Drosophila melanogaster: one gene and its partner. The protein of the gene in region 2 interacts with the protein of the main gene of each other region in a pairwise test. Each region holds a gene or a part of one and is shown on either strand. Other genes may lie near its edges. The genes, in order: CG13731 and sty.

The links.
Region 1: the proteins of sty (region 2) and CG13731 interact in a two-hybrid assay, tested with the Drosophila melanogaster proteins (2 studies listed by BioGRID).

The regions. Positions count from the first base shown.
Region 1 is NT_037436.4:17,382,897-17,390,650, reverse strand, and holds CG13731 (uncharacterized protein), read left to right. Parts: upstream 1-1,694; 5' UTR 1,695-1,903; coding exon 1,904-1,906; intron 1,907-4,188; coding exon 4,189-4,257; intron 4,258-4,316; coding exon 4,317-6,623; 3' UTR 6,624-7,015; downstream 7,016-7,754.
Region 2 is NT_037436.4:3,421,637-3,426,505, reverse strand, and holds the start of sty (sprouty), read left to right. Parts: upstream 1-1,570; 5' UTR 1,571-2,081; intron 2,082-4,869. UniProt on the Drosophila melanogaster protein: Inhibitor of tracheal branching that restricts branch budding by antagonizing the BNL-FGF pathway (BNL: branchless, an fgf inducer of branching).

The DNA of each region.
Region 1 (7,754 bases), about 14 Mb from region 2:
CGCGCCCGAAGACAAAGGCTCATAACAATTCACATACGAGCTCTGAAACTTCCCTAGATTAACAAATATATTTTTAAATTATCCAAATAGCAACCTGTCTAGAATGCGGTTTAGAACAGGCTCAAGCGACGGTCTTGTTTGATTCGAAAACCGCTAACGTCCTTCAGTGGAGTCCAAAATTTGAGGCAGCAAATTATCAGACACTCGGTATGGAAGTTGAATAATCGTCTGTTGCAATGTCGGATGAGGTGACAAAAAAAGGCTTTTCCTCTAGCCGGCAGTCAAGAAGCATTCGATGAGCCAAAAACTAAAAAAGAAAAAAATAATAAAAACAATTCAGTCGCTTCAGTTATCCGCAATGACAAATTTGAAATGTCAGCAGTCGCCGCCAAGTGTCATTGCCTTTGTGAAGATGTGCGAAGCAAGTTATGACCCGAATAAGTTAGCCAGCAATTATGTAATAAAAGACAAGAATTAATGTGGCTCTAAGTGGCGTCTGATGGCCGCAGGGGTGACTTCCGTTCGGCTGCACTTCCTCTGGGTGTTGTTCCGCCGTTTTATCTAGACCCTGACTACCCAGTGACCACGCACCTTTGGGCCGAAAGAGTTCAAAGTCACATCTATTTTGGGCCCGCTCATGACTGCGCGTGGCCAGTGGGTGTCACTCTGATTGGTTCATTAAAATCAAGACGTGACTGCTTGCGAATAAATAAATTCTAGTTATTAAACTGGCGAAATGCAGGCGATGACAAATGCCGAAACCCGTTTGGGAGTCGCTCGAAGAATGCAGCACTGAACACCGATCACCGATCACCGATCATCGAGATCTTCGAGTGTGCGTTTAAAGGTCACTCGGCTGACACGGAGTCAGAGATGAGCTGAGCCGAGCTGAGCCTACCTTAACATTCAACTCCGGCTGCCATCTGCTGACCCCCGGGCACACGCATTTTTGGCCAAGTCAACCGGTTCATGTTCAATTGGCCGACTCCAACTCCAACATCGACTCGCAACTCCAACTGCATTTAGGCCTGATCCGAGGGGTAAGTGCCATTAGCCAACGCCTGATCTTCTCGGCCTTATTTGCCTTGGCAAGCTTCGTTGGGAGCCTTGACTTGGCTCTCGATCGTCGAGCCAGCTTCGGCTTGTCTCATCGATTGATGAAATTCGGTGGCTCGGACCCATTTACCAAATTAAATGCTGCACGACAACGTGTTTAACACTCGCCGCAGACTTCTGCCAAAAGTACGAGCATATTTGCCAGCCATCGGAGTTGGCTAAATAGAAATGCCAACAAGAGCAGGCGTTGGTGGATGGATGGTCGGATGGCCGGATGGTGCGTCTGGCTTAGTTGCTCTTCTGCCATAATTGCTGGGCCTTAATTTGGCTGCCTTTTTGTCTTAGCCATGTTATCTGGCTGTTAACTCACAAACATCAAACAACCGAGACTGGTTGGCTTTCTGGTCAGCATTCAGCTGTCGGCGTCGCTGTCGACGAAGGCTGAGGCATCAGCAGCGGCAGAGACTTCGTATTCGGCTCATCTTCATCTGGCCAAAACGCTTTCGATTTCGGCTTTTGGCCGTGTGTTAACAGCTGTCGCCCAGGTGAAGATGCCTCTGCCGACGCCGCTGCCCAAGTGGGCAGATGCTGGGTCCGAGTATATATAGAAAATCTACAAGTTTTGATGCTTTAGTTGGTATTCCACACTCGACCTAGAAGTTAAACCAACTTAGCTTGGCATCGATCAAATTCAATCGTCCATTGAATTTGATACGATCGGTCGCGTCTTCTCCTTTCCGATCCTCACAGTACCGTCCGCAAGGATTATTCACGCACACCGCCTAGGATTACCTACGCACCCGGGATTACCGCAACTGCCGTTTGTAGCAGTCCGAAAGTGTACACCATGGTAACCGAACCCAGTTCCAATCCAATCTAAACCAAAACGAACAATGATCGTGTGCAAAGTGCAAAATAACGAAACAAGTGTCCCTCGGTGTGAAGACAAACAAGACAGACATTTCGCAAAGGAAAAGCAGTGCAGATGAAGATAAAAAGTATCAGTTTTGTTGGTCCAAAATATTTAGGGAGTTTCCACGTTTTATAGTTTGGGCTTGTGACAGTACAGAAAATAATTGAACGAATACGAATTTTCAATGATATTTGTATTCAAACTTTAATTTTAAATTAAAACATTTCTTGTGTTAAAATAATGTGTCAGCTATTTAGCGCTAGATCTTCAGAAATTTATTAATCCGAACTTGTATAAAAGGATACTAAAAAAGCATGTTCTACAATTTTATAGGGATACAATCATAAAAAAGGGTTATAAGATAAGATAGGGCCTTTAAGTTCATTCAAAATCATTCCGATTTTTCTCTGTGCATACCCAAGCATCGCAAACAAGAAGAAATAGCAAATAAATTGCCAACACCGACTGCAGTTCCAATTCAATCGCCATCTATTTGCATTTCACATTTTGTCGAGGGTCCAGCTCTGGACCCGGGCTATCATCGCGAGTTAAGAGTTGACCAGATGGCGGTTGACATTTAAGCCATGTAGAAATTGAGCAAGTGGCATCGAGTGCAATGTTACGCATACGCCGTGTTGGCCGCCCACAGAGCAAATCGCCTTGGCGCGATCCGCAATTTGCGTATTAAGTCATTAGGATGGACCAGCTGCATGTGCATTCTGCCATGTGGCGGCAGTTTCTATGTCAGCATTGACATGGCTGAAGATGAAATTAAAACTTGTTTTTTTTTCCATAATTTTCGCTTTTGCTTCTGACATTTGCTAGTCGCAATTTGCGATTGGCGTATTTAGGTAAATAGCCATAAAAACGTTGCCTTAAGTTAGATTCTTGACGTTGCCATTGAATAGACGTCCATTAATCACCATCATTGTTGCCAAAGAAGATTTCATTTGTTAAAGGGCCGACTGATCTTTTCCCCAGACTTTAATTCACCCAAATCTCTCACAGTTTCGGAAAAATAAAGTTGCCCCAAAAGTCTTGGCATTGGGGCTCTGCCCTCGAGGCGGTGTGAATCAGATTAATTAGCTGCCAATTAGCTCACTGAACAGTCGAGGGAATCGGTTTGCCCCTGCAAATATCTCTCCAAGTCCTTTCACTTTCTAACCTTTAAGCACCACCCGCCATAAGTCAAACCCGATTTGGTTCTCGATATCCTCAGCTCAATTGTGGCTGATATTTAAAACAAGTTAGAACAGCAAAAATTTTAGGTTCATTAGCATAAATTATTTAAAATCATTTACATACAAAGATCAAATATTTTTGAAATTAGCAAACAATCAGAAACCAACAAAAAAAATAAATGAAACTGGACCCAGTCGATTTTGGAGGTATGGCTTAAAATCTAACAGATTTGGTTATAAATGACAACCGGGGCTTACTATTCTTCGCATGCCAGATGCGTATGCTAATTTTGCGTTTTCTCACTAGTTTTATGGCCAGTCTTTGCTGATTATTATATAATCATGGCTAGAACTGGTCTGGAGTTTGGGGCCCGGATCCGGGCCGGTTTCTTTCATAATCGGCTATTTTTATAGCCCCCGAAAATTCTCCGTCAGCCAATTAATTGAGCTCATCGACACTGGCCATCTGCGGCCATCGACGAGCACTTTCATTAACTAACAATGACCTTGCCGAAACTCCAGCGACAAATGCAAATAAACCCGCTGACAGCATCGTCGGAAGCCATAATTCAGGGGCTACTTCCTCGGATCCCCATTGAGCTTCGGATCTGTTGTGTCGCTCCGCATTTGCATGGGCATTATGTATCAATCGCGTCAATCTGCGATATTTACATACATAGCTCCGGGGGAGGGGACTGACCTAGAGATGCTAATGCCCGTCAAAGTTGAATGTCTGCGTTAGCATTTCGGGTGATTTTCAATGCATTATGGTAAATCGATTCGCCAGCTTGGCTGTTTGTTGGCTGAACTTTACCACAGTTTTGAACTGCAGGCCAGCGGAGTTGCCTTGCCTCCTCCGACCCCGACCAAGTTGCCACGAAGCGTGAATAGGCGATTAGCCTAGAAGGCGATCAATTAGTCGCAATCAGGTTGTTAGAGCCAGTCGTTAGTCTGAGCACCTCTGTACGGCGACACCATCGAAGTCCATCAATATGTAGCATCACTAATCAGGCTGTGTTTTTCGTTCCTTCCCCACAGAGAAGTGCACTGTTCGTCTTGGCGCTTTGCGTTGTGGCTGTGGCCACCGCATCGGCCGATAACCATGAGGTAAGTGCGGAAATCTGACGATTCCCTGCCAACAGGAACTTACAAGCCACTTTTTACAGCGCAAGACTCGTGCCGCCGAGGGATACTTCTACCCCCCTCCCGATGTTCCATTCGATCTGCCCGTCCGCACCACACAGCCGCCAACAAGGCCGCCAACGCGCCCTCCTACTAGGCCACCCACCAGGCCACCCACCAGGCCTCCCACGCCACCACCAACCTACCTGCCGCCCACCAACAAGCCACTGCCACCAGTGACCACCCGTCTTCCTCCACCACCACCACCACCAAGGACTCCTCCCCCAACGAGGCCCCCAACTAGGCCACCAACCACTCGTCCTCCGGCAACCTACCTGCCACCCACCAACAAGCCACTGCCACCAGTGACCACCCGTCTGCCTCCTCCACCACCATCACCAAGGACTCCTCCACCAACGAGGCCGCCAACTAGGCCACCAACCACTCGTCCTCCAGCAACCTATCTGCCACCCACCAACAAGCCACTGCCACCAGTGACCACCCGCCTGCCTCCTCCACCACCACCACCAAGGACTCCTCCACCAACGAGGCCCCCAACTAAGCCACCAACCACTCGTCCTCCAGCAACCTACTTGCCACCCACCAACAAGCCACCGCCACCAGTGACCACTCGTCGTCCAACACCACCACCAACGAGGCCACCACCACCACCGACCCGTGCATCGACTCCAGCTCCTACCTACCTGCCTCCCACCAACAAACCACTGCCACCAGTCACCGTGCGCACCACTGTTCGCACCACTCCTCGTCCAACTCCTCCTCCTACCAAGCCACCAACTCGCCCACCAACCACTTATCTGCCACCCCCAACTGTGCGCACCACCCGCCCTCCTCCACCACCCACTCGGCCACCAACTAAGCCACCAACCACTTACTTGCCTCCCGTTACCGTGCGCACCACCCGTGCCACCCCCCCACCAACTCGCCCACCAACCCGGCCACCAACCTACCCACCGACCACTCGTCGTCTGACCACTCCGGCTCCTACTTACTTGCCACCCACCAACAAGCCTCTGCCACCGGTCACCGTTCGCACCACCGTTCGTACCACTCCTCGTCCAACTTTGCCTCCTACCAAGCCACCAACTCGCCCACCAACCACTTACCTGCCACCCCCAACTGTGCGCACCACCCGCCCTCCTCCACCACCCACTCGTCCACCAACTAAGCCACCAACCACTTACTTGCCTCCCGTTACCGTGCGCACCACCCGTGCCACCCCACCACCAACTCGTCCCCCAACTCGCCCCCCAACCCCTCCTCCAACTAGGCCACCACCACCACCAACCCGTGCATCGACTCCAGCTCCTACCTACCTGCCTCCCACCAACAAACCACTGCCACCAGTCACCGTGCGCACAACTGTTCGTACCACTCCTCGTCCAACTTTGCCTCCTACCAAGCCACCAACTCGCCCACCAACCACTTACTTGCCACCCCCAAGTGTGCGCACCACCCGCCCTCCTCCACCACCCACTCGTCCACCAACTAAGCCACCAACCACTTACTTGCCTCCCGTTACCGTGCGCACCACCCGTGCCACCCCACCACCAACTCGCCCACCAACCCGGCCACCAACCTACCCACCCACCACTCGTCGTTTAACAACCCCGGCTCCTACTTACCTGCCACCCACCAACAAGCCTCTGCCACCGGTCACCGTTCGCACCACCGTTCGTACCACTCCTCGGCCAACTCTGCCTCCTACCAAGCCACCAACTCGCCCACCAACCACTTACCTGCCACCCCCAACTGTGCGCACCACCCGCCCTCCTCCACCACCCACTCGGCCACCAACTAAGCCACCAACCACTTACTTGCCTCCCGTTACCGTGCGCACCACCCGTGCCACCCCACCACCAACTCGCCCACCAACCCGGCCACCAACCTACCCACCCACCACTCGTCGTTTGACAACCCCGGCTCCTACTTACCTGCCACCCACCAACAAGCCTCTGCCACCGGTCACCGTTCGCACCACCGTTCGTACCACTCCTCGGCCAACTCTTCCACCCACGAGGCCCCCAACTAAGCCACCAACCACCTACCTGCCTCCCCCAACTGTGCGCACCACCCGCCCTCCTCCACCACCCACTCGGCCACCAACTAAGCCACCAACCACCTACCTGCCCCCCGTCACTGTTGTGCGCACCACCCGACCTCCTCCACCACCCACTCGTAGGACCACCGTGTACGTGCCACCACCAACAGTGCGCACCACCGTGTACGTGCCACCCCCTACGCAGCGCACCACAGTCTACGTCCCACCCGCACCCACCAAGCACCAGGGCTACCAGTACCCCGTGCCCAGCATCCCCTTCAACTTCTAGATCTAGAGATCCAGATGTGATTAGGGATAGGGCCATCGTCTAGGGCTAGATTGATCTAGTCAATTCTCGTACAGTCTAACTTTACACGATCCGGCGCCAGCGGTGCTAGAGGGCGCCACTGGTGCGCCTGCAAGGACGACATTTGTTTGTTTTTATTTTATTTTTGTAATTAATGAATCGCATACTCATACAGCTAGGGATCATTGTAAATGAGTGCCCCAATTGTACAGCTAACAGTCTATCCAACTCTTGCTATGTTCTATCACTATTCTACAATCGATGGGCGGCCGTCGTCTGTGACGGACGCCAGCTCAAGACTATATAGCTCTATATTACGATTAAATAAACTTTTAATTCGGATCGCTGAAACCTGAACAATAAAATAAGTTTTTCGAATATTTACAAGCATTTTTTTCATCTGTTTTTGGGAAGCGGAAATTACATGCGGTCCTGTTATGTTATGTGCGATGTTTGAAACCCAAACAATAATAACATATTTTCTTTTTCACTCCTAACCGGGAAATGGGATCAAGCCATGTCCGGGAGATTTTGTGGTCTGGTTGGTCTCGTGGGTTCCTCCTCTTTTGGGAGTTATCTTAAAAGTCGGTTTTAACGACTATGCAAAGGAGATCGTTGCTTGCAAGTCATAAAGCGCCCAAAGTGCAGGTTAGGCAGTTAACCTTGACCTCCACTTCTGGTCTCTACTAATTTAAGTTATGGATGTGAAACACGTTAGCTTAGTTAATAGGTTTGAAAAGTTCGTATGAGTAGGTATTTAAATACATGTATGTTTACTATGAGCGATGTATATTTTCATGAAATATGAAATAATTTAACCTTAGGTTATAATTAAATGTCAAATTTGAGATATAGTTAAAATGTGATTTGAACTTATGACTTTTAAAATATTGAATCGATTTTTTTAATATAATTATTGATTATCACTAAATGTTATCATTTCCCTTTTTAAAAAGTATTTCACTTATATACAAAATTAGAGCTATGGCTAGTCAGCTCCTTCGTGAGTGCATAACCACTTCGGTTTCATCACGCCCCGAAGATATTTCTAGTTACTTCGCAGCTATCTTCAGATTTTCATGGTCAATGCGTTTTTTAATATCTCTTTCTTTT
Region 2 (4,869 bases):
TGAAATTGCCCTCGAGTTCATGTTTAGACATTCACCTCGAGGCCAATGTGTTACCTCTGCCACTGCGGCGATTATCTAGGACACTTGTGACGTCAGGCGGGAAAACTGTTGGACTGGGGTGGCGTATTCATTGCGGATTGAATGCACGAAAAGCCATCAGAGCCAAACACCCAGACATCAACTTGGCCAACTTTCATACGGATTTCTCATTGAGCATTTTCGTTCAATGAAATTTCATTTATTTTTATTCTGTCCGTTCGCATTCACACTCATTTATTCGAATTTGTTTGCCCAAAAATGTTTCGGCCAATATACATACGTATATATAATTGAATGGCAGACCACTTTTTGTTGTCGAGTTTGATCTGATCGAATGATTCACATTTCGGTTGGCATTTCAATTTAGGGTCCAAACAATGGCAGATGTCCAGTTGTCCAACTCCGCAGCAAAGCAAATGAAATTCTTTCGGGGATACCCTTATCTTAAAAGGTTATTTTGTTTCTTTATGTTCTTGGGAAGTATTTAAAATATATTATTATTTAATGCTATTCAAAAAGTATCTTACTCAACTTACTCATCCTAAAATAACATTTTCCTAGCGCTCAAGAAAGTAATCCACATTCGTTTTTGAATCCAATTTAGCTCACTCAGCTTTCTTGTTAGACTTTAGCTTTTTATTGTTCTTTATTCTGATGTTCCTTATACATATACAATATATACGTATACAAATATATATGTAGAGTTATTGTGATGCGTACCGCCCATATGTGGAGCTCGGCGAAGTGGCTGCTTTCCGCCAAATTTGGTGCCGCATTCGACCGGATGTCGTTGGAAATAATATTGAAATCTTTATTATTTTCACTGATTAATTTATGGGGCAGTAAACGAAATGAGCTTTGAGTGTGCTGTTCGATTTTAATTTGGGAGCGGTGCACAGGGTGCTGGCTAATTTTCAAATAAGCCCGCCTTAAGGAGGCAGGGCAACCCTGGCCGAACAGCTGATGGACAACGGATGACCTTGGGGGTAATTGCAACAACCCCCAAGTGGAAATTCACTGCCATGGCCAATGTCGAGGCGACGCCTACCGAAGGTCGTTGCCAAGGCAACTGAGTGGGCCAGAGCCCAGCTCATTGGGCCAGGAAATGCAGGCGTGTGTGAGTGGGCGCCCATTGAAAGTGGCGATGCATTCAAAATGGCCGTCAAACGGACGACCTTGAAAGCCGAGTGCTCATTGGCCGGGCCACCGAGGCCAGGATGTTGGGTGGCGGGTGGCTGGTGGGTTGGTAGGCAATTGGAGGGGGCTGGATGGCCATGCAAATGGAGGGAACTGGGAGCCAGGAGCTGGGAACAGGAGCAACCAGCAGCCAGGAGCCAGGATTAGTCCTGCAGCAATAGCCGAAATCGGAAAACAATACGAATGTCGCACGAAGCCCACGCAATGTCGTTTCGTGTTTCGGATTTTGGGACCTTCGGCCCAACGAATGGGTATTCCCCTCCAGGACGAGATCCTATCGGCAATCTTCGGGTGAGGCTGCAGCTCCGATGCAAAAGTCGTGCAACATTGGCTCAGTCACTGGACGATAGTCAGGCTGCATTCAACGTGCAATCTCCGAGAACTTGTGCTTGCAAAATTATTTACCAAATATATATACCCGATATATATACAGTTGTATGTTCAAAGACACAACGCAATTAGCGATTAATAGATGCGCACACGGCGTATGCGTAATTTAAGTGAATCCAAGTAAAAGTGCGCGTGTTTTTAAATAATTAACAATTTTAAATAGTAAACTATCCCATTGAAAAAAAAAACATAATCATACATAGCGTAAGCCTCTTTAACTTTATTACAAATTAATCGTGCTATTAATCAATTAACCAAGGCATCTCGTTGAGTACAGTTGCCACCAGAAAAACAAAACAACTCAATCAACCCCAAAAACCAGAACGAACAAAGGCGAGCTGTACCGAGCCAAAAAAAATCTCTAATCAAATTATCCGCATTATCTGCAATCGAGTCGACCAAGCCGAGGAAAACTTTCAACCAGAACCCATCCATCAAGCAACTTCCCTTCACCGGTGAGTAGCTTCATTGTCCCTTGTCCATCTCTATCAATATATGAACCTTCGCAGTCGAAGAACACTTAAATGTCTCAAGTCATTCATATTGTCAATTGGAACTTTGGATCTTGACTTTTTGTTCTTCTCTTGAGAGCTAAAAGTCACCCAAAGGTTAAGTGACCAGTGCTCATCAGTTGGAAAGGCATTAAAAGTCATTTATATGCCAGTGATTTTTATGCAAGAGATCTTATCGAAGATTTGTCAAGGATATTATAAATGTATTATAAAATGTTCATCCATTTGAATCTTAAATATCTGAGTAAATACGCGGTTGTATAGTTTGTAGAAATTGGGAATTAAATTTCTGGAAAAGTTGAAAAGTCTATCCTAGCCAATATTTTAAAAAAACAAGATCAACTCGATAAAAATAAATTCGTGACATTGTTTCTTTTAGTCAAACAATGATGAACAATTTCCCTACAATATCTTTGAGCTTTGAGTAATGGAATAACATTTAATCGATAGTATGATAGGTCTTAATTTTATAAATTTGTCATCTGTACCCTTTTTCCCTACCTAAAAATCAAATCTTATGCCTGAGCCTTAGAGCTTAGGCATTCTGGAATGCCATAAATCATTTTCACTGCCCCAAATGGGGGGAAAGGCGGAATCGGCGAGGATGAGTGGGGCGAAGTGGCTGGAAGAAGGCTCTTAAGTTAATTTAGTACTTTGTTCGCTGTGCCAGATCATTAAAATTATTTGGCGACTTTGAAAAATTCGAAACAGTAGCCCACAAATACCGACAGCTGAACGAATCTCGAAATGAAATTGGTTTGGCTGATGAGGATGGAGATCGTGTTTTCGTTCGCCGGCTACCCGCTGCGTTTGTCTGCAGATGTCTCATAAACATGAAGACCAACCAGTCCCTACCCTCCGAATATATATCTTTTTTCGAAATTTGTATAATCTGTATGCGAATCATAATGACGCGAAATCAAGATCGGACTGAAGGCTGAAAGCTGAGACACACTTTGGCCTTTTATGCCAGCTCACATGGAGGCTGAGGCTCAGCAAGAATTTTAAAAACTTAACCCATTTTGCAAACATAATGTAGTTTTACATTTGAATATATAAATGGGGATATTATGTATAATTAAATTCTGATATAAATGTAGGCAATAATCATTGTTTAAATCATAGCAAAGAATTGCAAATTGGAAAGTCCTTTAATGATTAAAGAAGTCATAAGAAGTACATTTAAATGCAAGGTCTTGGTCTGTTTCTATATGACTTTGGGTAAAACCAAAGCATCTGGGAGTTTTCCTAAAACCCCTAGGATACCCAGAGGGTTAAGGTTTCGCTGAATCTGTACCGTTCAATTAGCTCTGTCTTTGGGACTGGCGTTGACCAAGACTAATGCGCACATTTCATGCTGATCGTCGCAGGAATTCCAATTCCCTGCGAGTGAGTTCTCCTGGGTTTCTTATTTTAATTTTTTTTTTTTTTTTTGGCTCTGGGTTGGGCTGGCCCTGTCGGAGGAGACCTTTTCTTTGGGTCGGTCGCGTAACATAATTGCGTGAATAACTGCGTTAATTTCCCAAAAGACTTGACAGCGGATGTGGCTACTGGTCTGCGCCGTTGACTCCTCCAGCCTCCCAAATCCTCAGTCCTTCACCTTCTGCTTTGCATTGGCATTCCACGGACTATGCCATCGATATCGATCCGATTCGAACCGATCCTCTGGGCCCTGTGCCTCTCGCATTTTTGGACCCGGGTGTGCCAATGTTTTTTTTTTATCTTATTTATATTAAGTTTTTTTTTTGCCATAAATGGCTTCCGCCGGAGTGTCCAGTTTTTGGCTCACGCTGCATACGCATATACATGTGGAGCTCCATTTAAGGTGGTTCCGGGGGCTGGGGCTCCTCCAATATAATTATGAATAGGCAGGCCATGTGGGCATGGGCAACTCCCCCGCCTTCGTGGCCCCAACTACTCAAATCCAAAATATGAGCTATGCGTTCCAATTTCAGTTGTGGGCTTTTCTCGGATCTTAACTCGGCCCCTCTTTTCTTTCGCATTTTGCACCGGTAGAAATAATAGATTTAGTAGAATTATTGCTTGATTAGAAAAAATATTAATTAATTATCTATTTATAATATAGTTTCTAATTACACACTGCACCAATCCAATTGTTTTTTGTAGACACAAAAAATATTTTTTCACATTATATTTATGTGTTTCACAATTTTTTGAACCTTAGGTTAATATTTTATATTTTCTAAACAAAATACAAAGTATTTTCATGTTAATTTGGTAAAAGTATTTTTCTTAATGCCTTTATACCATTTTTTCACTTTATCGATCGCAACGGAAGCGAGTTGGCGTTGCCATCGTCATTTTGCGTTTGTCACAAATTTGTTTAGCTAAAATATTGATAGAGAGAAGACATAAAAAATAAACACAATTTTTTAGATAGTTTTTCATGTGGGGGTTCCGACGGAATTCGGAATTCGGTTTCGAGCCTACTTTGACGAATTTGGAAGTAACATAAATATGCATTCTGCTCAGCAAAAGTATGACATTATATGCCATGTGACAATTTATGCTGACATCTCCTCATTATTTTATTATATTTAAAAAATAAGCGGCTTCAGCTTGGCTAACCTTGTTTAATGAAATCGCTTGATACTTATTTATTTTTATTTTACTTTGTTGTAACGCCAGTCAGTTATCTACCAATTTATTAATACATTCTTAATGATCGATTGTGGGGAAAATTGTTTACAAGAACTAATCACCTAATCTA